Linked DNA regions of Saccharomyces cerevisiae S288C. Changing the gene in region 1 together with any one later gene gives a genetic interaction. Each region holds a gene or a part of one and is shown on either strand. Other genes may lie near its edges. The genes, in order: REX2, NUC1 and REX3.

Region 1 (3,469 bases):
CTACCTGGGAAGTAGGTTTTCACAGAATCGTCTTCTTCAATCCAGTAACCTCTGCCAGAAGCAGCAGCACCGTAGTCTGCAATCCACTCTGTTCTAAAAGTTTGCATGATTTTACCCAATAACCCTTGAATGATTTCAAACCCAGAATTCTTACCCACGTAGATGGCAGCCCAGTGACGTTCATTGTACGCCTTCCTTTCTAGTTTGTCGTCTTTAAATACAACGTCACCGGTTTCAAAGACTTTGATTGGCAAGGAATGTTTTCTGTTTTCCTTGACTGTCTTTAAGATACCAGGCAATAAAGTGGTTCTAACAACTTGGTATTCCAAAGTCTTTGGGTTGGCCAATTTGACAGCTAAATCACCATTGTCGGATTGTCTTAGAAATTTAAAGTTTTCATCGTGCGAACATAAGGTCAATGGTAAAACCTCAACCCACGTGGCTTGAGAGGATGCAACTCTGAAAATATCAGAAACCTTGTTGATTGGTAATGGTTTGGCAATGAAGTTGGCATTGGATAATTTCTCACCCTTTGGCAAATTATTGAAACCATAACCGACAGCGGCATCTTCCATTATATCACAAGCGTGCAAAATATCAGGTCTAGTTACCGGAATGTCAACGTGCAAGATGTCCTTGTCTTCCTTTGATTGAACGGCATGCAACGACATCTTCTTTAGACAATGAGCAATTTCATCAGCGGATTGATCTAGGCCAAGACAGGAGTTGATGTACTTAATGGAGACATCCATAATTCTATCGTTGAAGTTTGGCGCCAAACGGGATTGGCCATTGTGTTCAGAGACAATTTCTACAGGCTCAACCGTGAATGGTTCGTCACAATAACGTGAGAACATTGTAGTTAATATGTTCAAAACGATCTCGGCTTTGGTCTTATCGGTGGCGGTTATATCAATCAAAATGTTACGGGTGTTCACAGAGATCTTCGAATGTTCACTATTGATTAATGGTGGCAGGGAGCAAACACGATCTTTGCTGTCCATAATAACTGGGAAGACTGGAGAATCCTCAATAATGTGAACGTATCTCCCTATGTTGTTTTTCTGTTCTGGAGATTTATAAAACTCGATCAATTTGTCACCAGTAAACTCTTGGGTTTGATTCAATGGTACGAACTTGATGTCCTTTGGTGGTAGAGCTCTGTAATGGAATGGACCTTCAATTGAATCTAAATCGTGAGTACCCATGGCAACCAAGCTTCTGTTTCTACATAGATTGGCATGTAATTTATCTTGCAAGGCAATAAAAGAAGCGTAAGATTTTTCGTTAAGCTTGATATTTCTCAATACAGCAGCGGTAGCAAAAGGTCTAATTTGCTCCGTTGATTTGTCGATGATCAACTTAGTGGTTGGCTTGCTTAATTTATAGTCAGGTCTTTCTTTACGTTCCAAGTATTCGTTCAGCGACTGTGAAATACCTTCGATACAAAGCAAATCGTAACGATTGGCACTGATATCAAGCTTCAATTCCGGCTCCTCCCCGGTTTTCAAGGCCTCCTCTGTGGTGTCTTCGTCCATTTCCATACCGAATTCAAAACATAATTCATCGAACTCTTGGGAAGTGTAGTTTTTGCCTAGAAGATCAAATAATTGCTGCTTGTTCACGGAGACGGTAGGCATGCTGGCTCGGTGTTATTGATGTGTGTTATGCTATTCTGCCCTATTTTTTGAACATTTGATCAACTCCAGGCTTTCGAGAAATACATTGAAAATTTTTCATTTCCTTCAATTTTCTTTCTTTTTTGGTACCGATTCTGAATAATCGGTCACCTCGTGTGTCGTGATAAATAATCAAGAAGATGTACTTTTATACAAGGGTTGTAGTCATCTGGGACACTCTCAGAGCACTGGCTCTGACGACAACCATCAAACGCATGCTCATACGTATAATTCAAGCCTTACATACACTGGTATTCCCTTTGGGGTGTTTCTTTTTCCTGTCAAGTTGGGCACTTAAAAGAACTAATAAAAAATCAGTGTGAACTTTTCGATTTGCAAAGAAAATGAAAAAAAAGAAAAGGAGCTTTCACAAATAAACAGAAGAGATCAAGATGAAGTGGTTGTTGTTTCCGGCAAGAATCGTAGCTCGCACTCGCCCAAACCTCTTCTCGCTGTACAGAAGATCCGTTTCACAGTACTTACGTCCTCGAACCATCCAAAACCTGCAATCAATGGCGCAAACACCCGAACTTAAAACCAAGCTGTTCAAACCCTTGGTCTGGATCGACTGCGAGATGACCGGTTTAGACCACGTGAATGACAGAATTATCGAGATTTGCTGCATCATCACCGATGGACACCTGGCACCCGTCAAAGCGGCCGATGGCCAAGGAGACTCGCATTATGAGAGCGTCATCCATTATGGTCCCGAGGTGATGAACAAAATGAACGAGTGGTGTATTGAGCACCACGGTAATAGCGGTCTCACCGCCAAAGTTTTGGCAAGTGAGAAGACTTTGGCCCAGGTAGAAGATGAGCTGCTCGAGTACATCCAGCGCTACATCCCAGACAAGAACGTTGGCGTCTTGGCAGGCAATAGTGTACATATGGACCGCTTGTTCATGGTCCGCGAGTTTCCCAAGGTCATTGATCATCTCTTTTACAGAATAGTTGACGTCAGTAGCATCATGGAAGTTGCCCGCAGACACAATCCCGCTTTACAAGCACGTAATCCAAAAAAAGAAGCTGCCCACACTGCTTATAGTGATATCAAAGAGAGCATAGCTCAATTGCAATGGTACATGGACAACTACTTGAAGCCACCACAGGAAACAGAGTCGGTCGAGTCAATCGGATCTGAACAGCCGGAGTCACCATCTTCATCTACCTCATCTTTGAAAAGACAACGCACCGATTTTTAATGTAGAAAAAAAAAAAGAAAAAAGAAGTGAAATTTTTCAAATATTTCACACACGAAACATGACTCCTGGTGAGAAATGACCCTTTCAGGTTGCTTTGACCATAAAGGTTTGACTCTATCTCTTGGGTTTCTCATGTTCGCTTTTTACTCTGTATAATTTTTAAATTCATAATCATCTTAGACCGAACCATGAGTCTTCTTCATCTTGTTTTATATATAATGCAGAACTTGCTTCCCTTAGTTTGCGTTCAGTAATCTTTCCTTCTTCTAGTGTAACCTTTACGAAAGATACTACCCCATAGCAAAGCATAACAGCTTAAACCGAATCCTCCTTAACATGCCTTACACTCTATCCGACGCTCATCATAAGTTGATCACCTCTCATTTGGTGGACACCGACCCTGAAGTGGACTCCATTATCAAGGATGAAATTGAAAGACAAAAGCACTCCATCGATTTGATTGCTTCTGAAAATTTCACCTCAACCTCCGTTTTCGATGCCCTTGGAACTCCATTGTCCAACAAATACTCTGAAGGTTATCCAGGTGCTCGTTACTACGGTGGTAATGAACACATTGACAGAATGGAA
Region 2 (3,518 bases), on another chromosome or scaffold:
CGAACTGTAACCCATTCATTGCATCCTCCCCATGTGATGTCAAATTAAAAGTGAATAATCAAAACAGGTTTACTATTTTAAGGAATATTGCATTAAGCGCACTGCAGATAGGAAGAACAGACATTTTTCTTTGGGCGTGCGCAGAACTATACCAGAACGGTATGACGATTGAGGAATTGAAGTTAGACTGGAATTTCATCTTAAAACATCAAATTAGAAATTCAGAGTTCAAAACAAACAAGGAGATCATACAAGATATTAAAAAGCATGGTGTGTCGGCTGTCAAACGTTACTTAAGATGAACGGCCAAACGCACATTTACGATATAAATAACAAAGCAAATAATAACAAAACAAATTTCTGTAAATATATACTAAATCCAAGCATTGCATCCTAATTCTTTTCTTTTTTTGATCATCAAATAAATGTATTATTTTATGTTATATGCGTTAGACTTGTTATATTCTTTCATGCTATTCTATCGTTGTGTTATGAATTAATTTATATTTACAGTTTTTCAGTACATTCAATTCCTTTTTTTTGGAGGAGGTAACAATTTCACATCTTTCGATTGTTTGATCGCCGCGTTAGAGAAATCTCTCACTACAATTTGACAATTTACCTCTTTGCATAATGCCTTCTTCTTTGAAGGTGGTACTTTTTGCAGAAGTTCTAGCCCAGTACTTCTCTCTAAAGCATCTATAGGAACTTCAAAGTCAGTCAATTTCGTCTCATTTGATATCGGTTCGTTTGGCAATACAAATGCCGCGACAGCAATATCCTCTCTAGCAGGATTGGCTGTTGGTGCTTCTGCAACAATCAATTTAAAAAAGTGCGTTGGAACAGCAATACTGGGTGGATTGCCAATAACTTCATAATTAACCCTAAATTTATTATCTATGGGATCCTTTTTGGGTAGATACAATGGACCAGTCACGATTCTTACACTCTTATATTTCTTAGTCAATCCCCTACAAAAGTACTCCAAATGCGCCCAATAGTCTCTATTAAAACCTTCTCCTACTTGAGGACACATATTGGATAAGTAGAATGTATCATCCATGGCCTGTTGAGAAAATTTTGCGTCTGCAGCTGGGGCTTGATGGCCTCGATCATAGCCCGACCTAAAATAGTCTCTTAGTTTACCTCTAAACTTTTCTGGAATTACTTCATCTTCCTTGAAAAAGGAATTTTTTCTGTCAGCATTCCTTGCAGCCAATGATTCTGGCGTTATATGTTCGAGGACCCAATAAGGATTTTGAGTTTGTCTGTTGTAACATGAGATAAACTCTTCGCGGTTCTGCAGATCATGAATCGGACCAGGAAAACCATACTTGAAGAACCCGGAAGGATCGACGTTGAAAGAGTGAGATTGAATATTACTATTAGGTTTCTGGGTAGGTGGATAAGGTGTCTCAATGATTTGCGTTGGAGAATGTTTGTTCAAAAGAAGATAGGTTAAGCCAGTACCAGCACCCAGTCCGACTAAACCGGACAAGAGTATCCTACTGCACATGATAACTTTAACTTTGGGATCTAATAAGTGGGGAACTTAACTAAATGTTCTTATCTTTATACAATTGTAACTCTATAAAAACTAACAAATTACTTGATGAGTGACCAATAACCAATTGCACCATTGATATTTTTTCACAGATTTTATTTTTTTTTTCTTTTTTCGCGATGAGTTTTATTTCCGTGCATATGCATCCGACTTGCAATTAGTCGAAAGATTTCAGTTGAAAGGCCTCTTCGACAGAGCCCAAAGACTGCGATTTAACGTATGCCTCCATCACGGAACCTATAATTGCTTTTTGTTGAGGACTTATAGTGCTAGAAATGGCTTCTTTAAATGAATTTTTGTCCAATTTAGCCAAAGCAACTATGCCACTTGCTACTTCGTTGTCTATTTTCTCTGTATATGCGCTATGATATGCGGCAAAGAAAGAAAGACATAAAGCAATTGACAATGATGCCTTTTGGTGATCTTGTTTGATTACTTCCTCGGAAAACTGAATTATCAACTTAGTTTTAATGCTTGCCTGCGATAAGGAATCGTTTGTTTGAATATCTTGAAAGAATCTTTTTATAACCAACTTCATAAAATACTGCAACAACGGGTATTTGAAAATATTAGATATTATTCTCTTGAAGCCTTGTAGAGCAATTGGCTGCGTAGCAGGATTATTCAATGCCTCCGAGAGAATATTTGCGCACTGATTCAGTTCCTGAAAACTTAGCTTAGAGTATCCATTAGACAGCAAGATCAAAATGGTTGCAACTTTATTCTTTGAATCCAGCTTATGATAAATAACATCTTTTATTGACCCGTAGAATATTTCTAGTAACACAATATTTTTTTCGTCCTCAGATTCCGTAAGCGCTTTTACTAGTGCCTTGAAAAGTGGGAGTATGATTGGAATTATTACTTCACGATGACTACATTCATAAATTTTCCCTATGATGAATAAAAGACATGAATAAAGATCTACTTTGAACATATTGTCGAAGTTACTGATATTTGATTCGAACGCAATAAATGTTTTTTTCAACAGACTAATATCTGTGGGAGAGATTTTTATTTCATTATCATCTTCTTCGCTGGTAAGCACGTTATACTTAATAAATGGCAACCTCTCAGAAATAATTGTCATCAGTAGTCGCAGTAGCTCATATAGTTTGTCAATATCTTGTAGAAATGTTTCAGGAGTAGCATTACACTTCGAATACCCAATGATCAAGTCACTGATGATATCAACAAGCAAAAATTCTTCTTTACTGTCGCCTGTAGAAATCAGTCTGTCCATAATCTCAACAACTTCAGTAATAATATCATCCTCAAATATACTTTTTATGCACAGATTGCTCTTCAAAACATTGTGTAAAGCCGGTAAAACTTGCATCTTGACTGAATGATCATCAATATTTTTGACGATAGCCTCCAAACATTGGCTAAATAAAATAAAAAGAAAATACTCTAATTCCTCATCGTTAAGAGATGCCAAAATGACTTGAACGTCTGAATCCAGAGTGCACCCAAGGGCCTCTACGAAATTTAACCAGACCGGTTCATATAACTCAATTTTCGTACTTCTTGGTTCAATGAGACTATTTTCTTTCGAGTCATTCTTTACTTGCACAGTAGAATCATTATCGTTATACTTTATCATCATGTATTCACGTAAAGAAATGATCCATAATGGGACTAAAATGCTCCAATATTTCCTGGTAAAAGAGAAAAGCGCATCATTTGACGACGTGATGGATCTTTGCACTACCTCAGCCCACGCATCCAAAACGGCAAGTTCAATTTTTCTTTTCGCTTTGGGTGTAACGATTATAGCTTCCCCTATCCGTATACCGGAATTAGGATCTTTAAAGTTACCAAGAAGGTCAATTAGTAATTGTGAAATTCTTCCCAATTTATCTGGTGGCATTATATTCGATGCCAACACTTCAGCAGCAACAGTAATAGCAAAGGACATTACAGTAGGTGAGCTTCCTTTACTAAAAGCAGG
Region 3 (3,759 bases), 100 kb from region 1:
GTGTACAAATATACGTATAGCATTTATTAGTGCTGGAGATTATAAATAACAGAACTATTATGGAGAATTATCGATCATACTTTACCGTTTAGATGTTTTATGTTGTCTTTTAATGCCGCATGCAATACTTTTTTAGATTAAACTTAAAATTAACTTGTTCTGGTAATTACTGACGGATAACAGGTACTTCTTTAAATAGGATTATGGTGCTTCAGCTATCATCAAGTTTGGTACATCCTGAACCCAATTTCACGATATTTTAATATTCAGATATTGAAAAGGTGCATTATTATTGTTCGCTTAAATACAGAAAATAGGAAAGCAATACGAAATCATTACTTTTATCATGTTGTTTCTTAACGTAATTACTTAATAAAACTCATGTGAACCGTATGAAATGTAATAACTATATATGTCTGCTCAACTTTGAATATGATCACATTATTTTTCCCACTTGTTTTGACTTGGAGAAATACCTATTTTGACTTTAACAACGTCCATCGTTGCTATTGCATCTTGAGAACTATCATGCTCGCCATTTTGGATTTTTCTACTCAAAACTTCAAACGCTAAGTTCTTCAAAGAAACCTTAAACTTTGTTCTTGAATAAAGTATTGCAGTATCTATAACCTTATTATGAAATAGCCTCATGACGTTCAGATCGTTCTCTAGTCCGTGCCCTATAAGAATACTATTTTTATTTATTAAGTTTTCGGATAAAAAAACATCAAGTGCCTCCTTGTACGTCGGGCAATTGGTTCGGTCAATCTCATGGACACCACTGAAGTCTGAATTCAGATCGACAATATCCCCTATTGGCTGAATTACATGATCAAATAGTGTCTTGCCGGTGAAAAAATCCACAATTGTTAAACGTATCATCTCATAGCCCAATGATGTAAAAGCCATTTCACAGTCAAGAGAAAGAACATTCTCAACACCATCAATGTCATCTGTACTAGAAAACTTCGAAATTTTGCATAACTCGTCATATGATTCTCCTCTAAACACATGGTGAAAAAACGTCTTGCATCCTAGCCTTAGAAAAGAAACGGAATCAGTAGTTTCACCACAGCATGGATACTGATGGTTCTTGGTATCTCTGTTGTATATTCTTTTCAAAGGGTGATACCTACATAGAGTCTTTTCCATGATGTCTGTTTTTTTGAAATTTGAGCTGCAACGCAAACAAGGTGCATACAGTTGCGTACTATTGTCATCATTAGTTTTATTTTGCATTTCCTTAACAATATACCCATTTTTCTCTAAGACCTTCGAATCCAAAATCAGAGCCTTTAAAGCTTCCATCGCTTTTGATTTTGTAGTGATAGAGTTTGCATTACCAATTGAGGATAAATGAGGCTTAGCTCCTTTAAGGGGGCGCCCATTAATTTTGATCTTCGAGAGATCTCCTTTATATTTAAGCACATCCCGCAGTAAAATGCTCATGTTAAACTTGTAACTCTGACCAGACAAGCTGTTTTTAGCAACATGGACTTCTAAGCGAGTGGCAAGTCTTTCAAGGTCAATATTAGTTCCTTTTGTGTGTGCATATGCCTTTTGTAGCTGCTTGAATAATTTCTGCAAAATTTTATATCTTTCTTGGAATCCAAGCGGTTGATTTACCAGATCAACCGGTCTCAACAAACTTCCCATACTAAAGCTTTCTCTTGATATATAGTCAAACTGAATGTATACTGAAACACATATTCAAGGCATTGATTTTAAATGCACTTGAACCGTTATTCCATTTCTTTTTCTACTCATCATTTATTGTCGCCCTTTACGAGGTATTTTTTCTTTTTCGAGTGAAAAATTTTAAAGAAGCGATGAGCTAAGGTCTATTTAGCTTTATGAAAAGAAAACATTATATCACTTACTGCTTTACTTTAGACATTCCTCTCCAAAGTGATTATTTTAAAGATTCAAAGTACCTCTGAGTTAATTTGACATCGAATTCTACTCTTATTATTTTAAGGTACCTCTACTTTACGCGGTCACATTATTTTTAAAACCGTTATAATCTGCTGAGAATGTCCCAGGATAGAATTTTGTTAGATTTAGACGTAGTTAACCAAAGGTTAATTCTCTTCAATTCTGCTTTTCCCTCTGATGCTATTGAAGCGCCCTTCCACTTTAGCAACAAGGAATCAACTTCTGAGAATTTAGACAATTTAGCAGGAACTATACTACATAGCCGTTCCATCACTGGTCATGTTTTCCTTTACAAACATATTTTTTTAGAGATAGTGGCACGTTGGATAAAGGACTCCAAAAAAAAAGATTACGTTCTTGTAATTGAAAAGTTGGCAAGTATAATTACAATATTTCCCGTTGCAATGCCATTAATTGAAGACTATTTAGATAAAGAGAATGATCATTTCATCACTATTCTTCAAAATCCATCCACACAAAAGGATTCCGACATGTTTAAAATACTATTAGCATACTATAGGTTACTATATCACAATAAAGAAGTATTTGCACGCTTCATTCAACCCGACATTTTATACCAACTTGTGGATTTACTCACCAAAGAACAAGAAAATCAGGTTGTTATATTTCTAGCATTAAAGGTTTTATCTTTATACTTAGACATGGGAGAAAAAACATTAAACGATATGCTCGACACTTATATAAAATCACGCGATTCATTGTTGGGCCATTTTGAGGGCGATTCTGGAATTGATTACAGCTTCCTCGAACTGAACGAAGCTAAGAGATGTGCAAATTTCTCTAAACTACCCAGTGTTCCAGAATGTTTCACTATAGAAAAAAAATCTAGCTACTTCATTATTGAGCCTCAGGATTTGAGTACTAAGGTCGCGTCAATCTGTGGCGTTATCGTCCCTAAGGTCCACACTATCCACGACAAAGTATTCTACCCATTAACCTTTGTCCCTACTCATAAAACGGTTTCCTCTCTTCGTCAACTCGGGAGAAAGATTCAAAATTCAACTCCAATAATGCTCATTGGAAAAGCGGGATCCGGTAAAACCTTTTTAATCAATGAGCTAAGTAAATATATGGGTTGCCATGACTCCATTGTGAAAATTCATTTAGGTGAACAAACTGATGCCAAGTTACTGATTGGTACTTATACCTCTGGTGACAAGCCAGGCACGTTTGAATGGAGAGCTGGTGTTCTCGCTACCGCGGTCAAAGAAGGGAGATGGGTACTTATAGAAGACATAGATAAAGCTCCTACAGATGTTTTATCAATACTTTTATCGCTTTTAGAAAAGCGCGAACTAACCATTCCATCCAGAGGAGAGACTGTAAAGGCTGCAAATGGTTTCCAGTTAATATCAACTGTTAGAATAAACGAAGATCATCAGAAGGATAGTTCCAATAAGATCTATAACTTGAATATGATTGGTATGAGAATCTGGAATGTTATTGAATTAGAGGAACCTAGCGAAGAGGATTTGACACACATTTTAGCCCAAAAGTTTCCCATTTTGACCAACCTTATCCCCAAACTAATCGATTCATACAAAAACGTCAAAAGTATTTATATGAACACCAAGTTCATTTCATTGAACAAGGGGGCACACACAAGAGTTGTATCTGTAAGAGATTTAATTAAGCTGTGCGAAAGGTTAGACATCCTATTCAAAAACAATGGCATCAACAAACCTGACCAACTAATCCAGTCTTCTGTCTACGACAGTATTTTCTCCGAAGCCGCCGACTGTTTCGCTGGCGCTATTGGAGAATTCAAAGCTTTGGAACCTATTATACAAGCAATCGGCGAGT

The links.
Region 2: mutations in REX2 (region 1) and NUC1 together harm fitness more than expected from each alone (negative genetic interaction), as found in Saccharomyces cerevisiae (2 studies listed by BioGRID).
Region 3: of REX2 (region 1) and REX3, changing one enhances a phenotype caused by changing the other (phenotypic enhancement), as found in Saccharomyces cerevisiae (2 studies listed by BioGRID).

Annotation. Positions count from the first base shown.
Region 1 is NC_001144.5:259,150-262,618, reverse strand, and holds REX2 (Rex2p), read left to right. Parts: upstream 1-2,071; coding exon 2,072-2,881; downstream 2,882-3,469. Other genes in the region: FRS1 (phenylalanine--tRNA ligase subunit beta), read right to left, coding at 1-1,640; glycine hydroxymethyltransferase SHM2, read left to right, coding at 3,218-3,469. UniProt on the Saccharomyces cerevisiae protein: 3'-to-5' exoribonuclease specific for small oligoribonucleotides.
Region 2 is NC_001142.9:39,668-43,185, forward strand, and holds NUC1 (ribonuclease), read right to left. Parts: upstream 1,517-3,518; coding exon 527-1,516; downstream 1-526. Other genes in the region: CBP1 (Cbp1p), read left to right, coding at 1-302; AP-1 complex accessory protein LAA1, read right to left, coding at 1,722-3,518. UniProt on the Saccharomyces cerevisiae protein: This enzyme has both RNase and DNase activity.
Region 3 is NC_001144.5:362,013-365,771, reverse strand, and holds REX3 (RNA exonuclease), read right to left. Parts: upstream 1,657-3,759; coding exon 442-1,656; downstream 1-441. Other genes in the region: REA1 (AAA family ATPase midasin), read left to right, coding at 2,034-3,759. UniProt on the Saccharomyces cerevisiae protein: 3' to 5' exoribonuclease required for proper 3' end maturation of MRP RNA and of the U5L snRNA.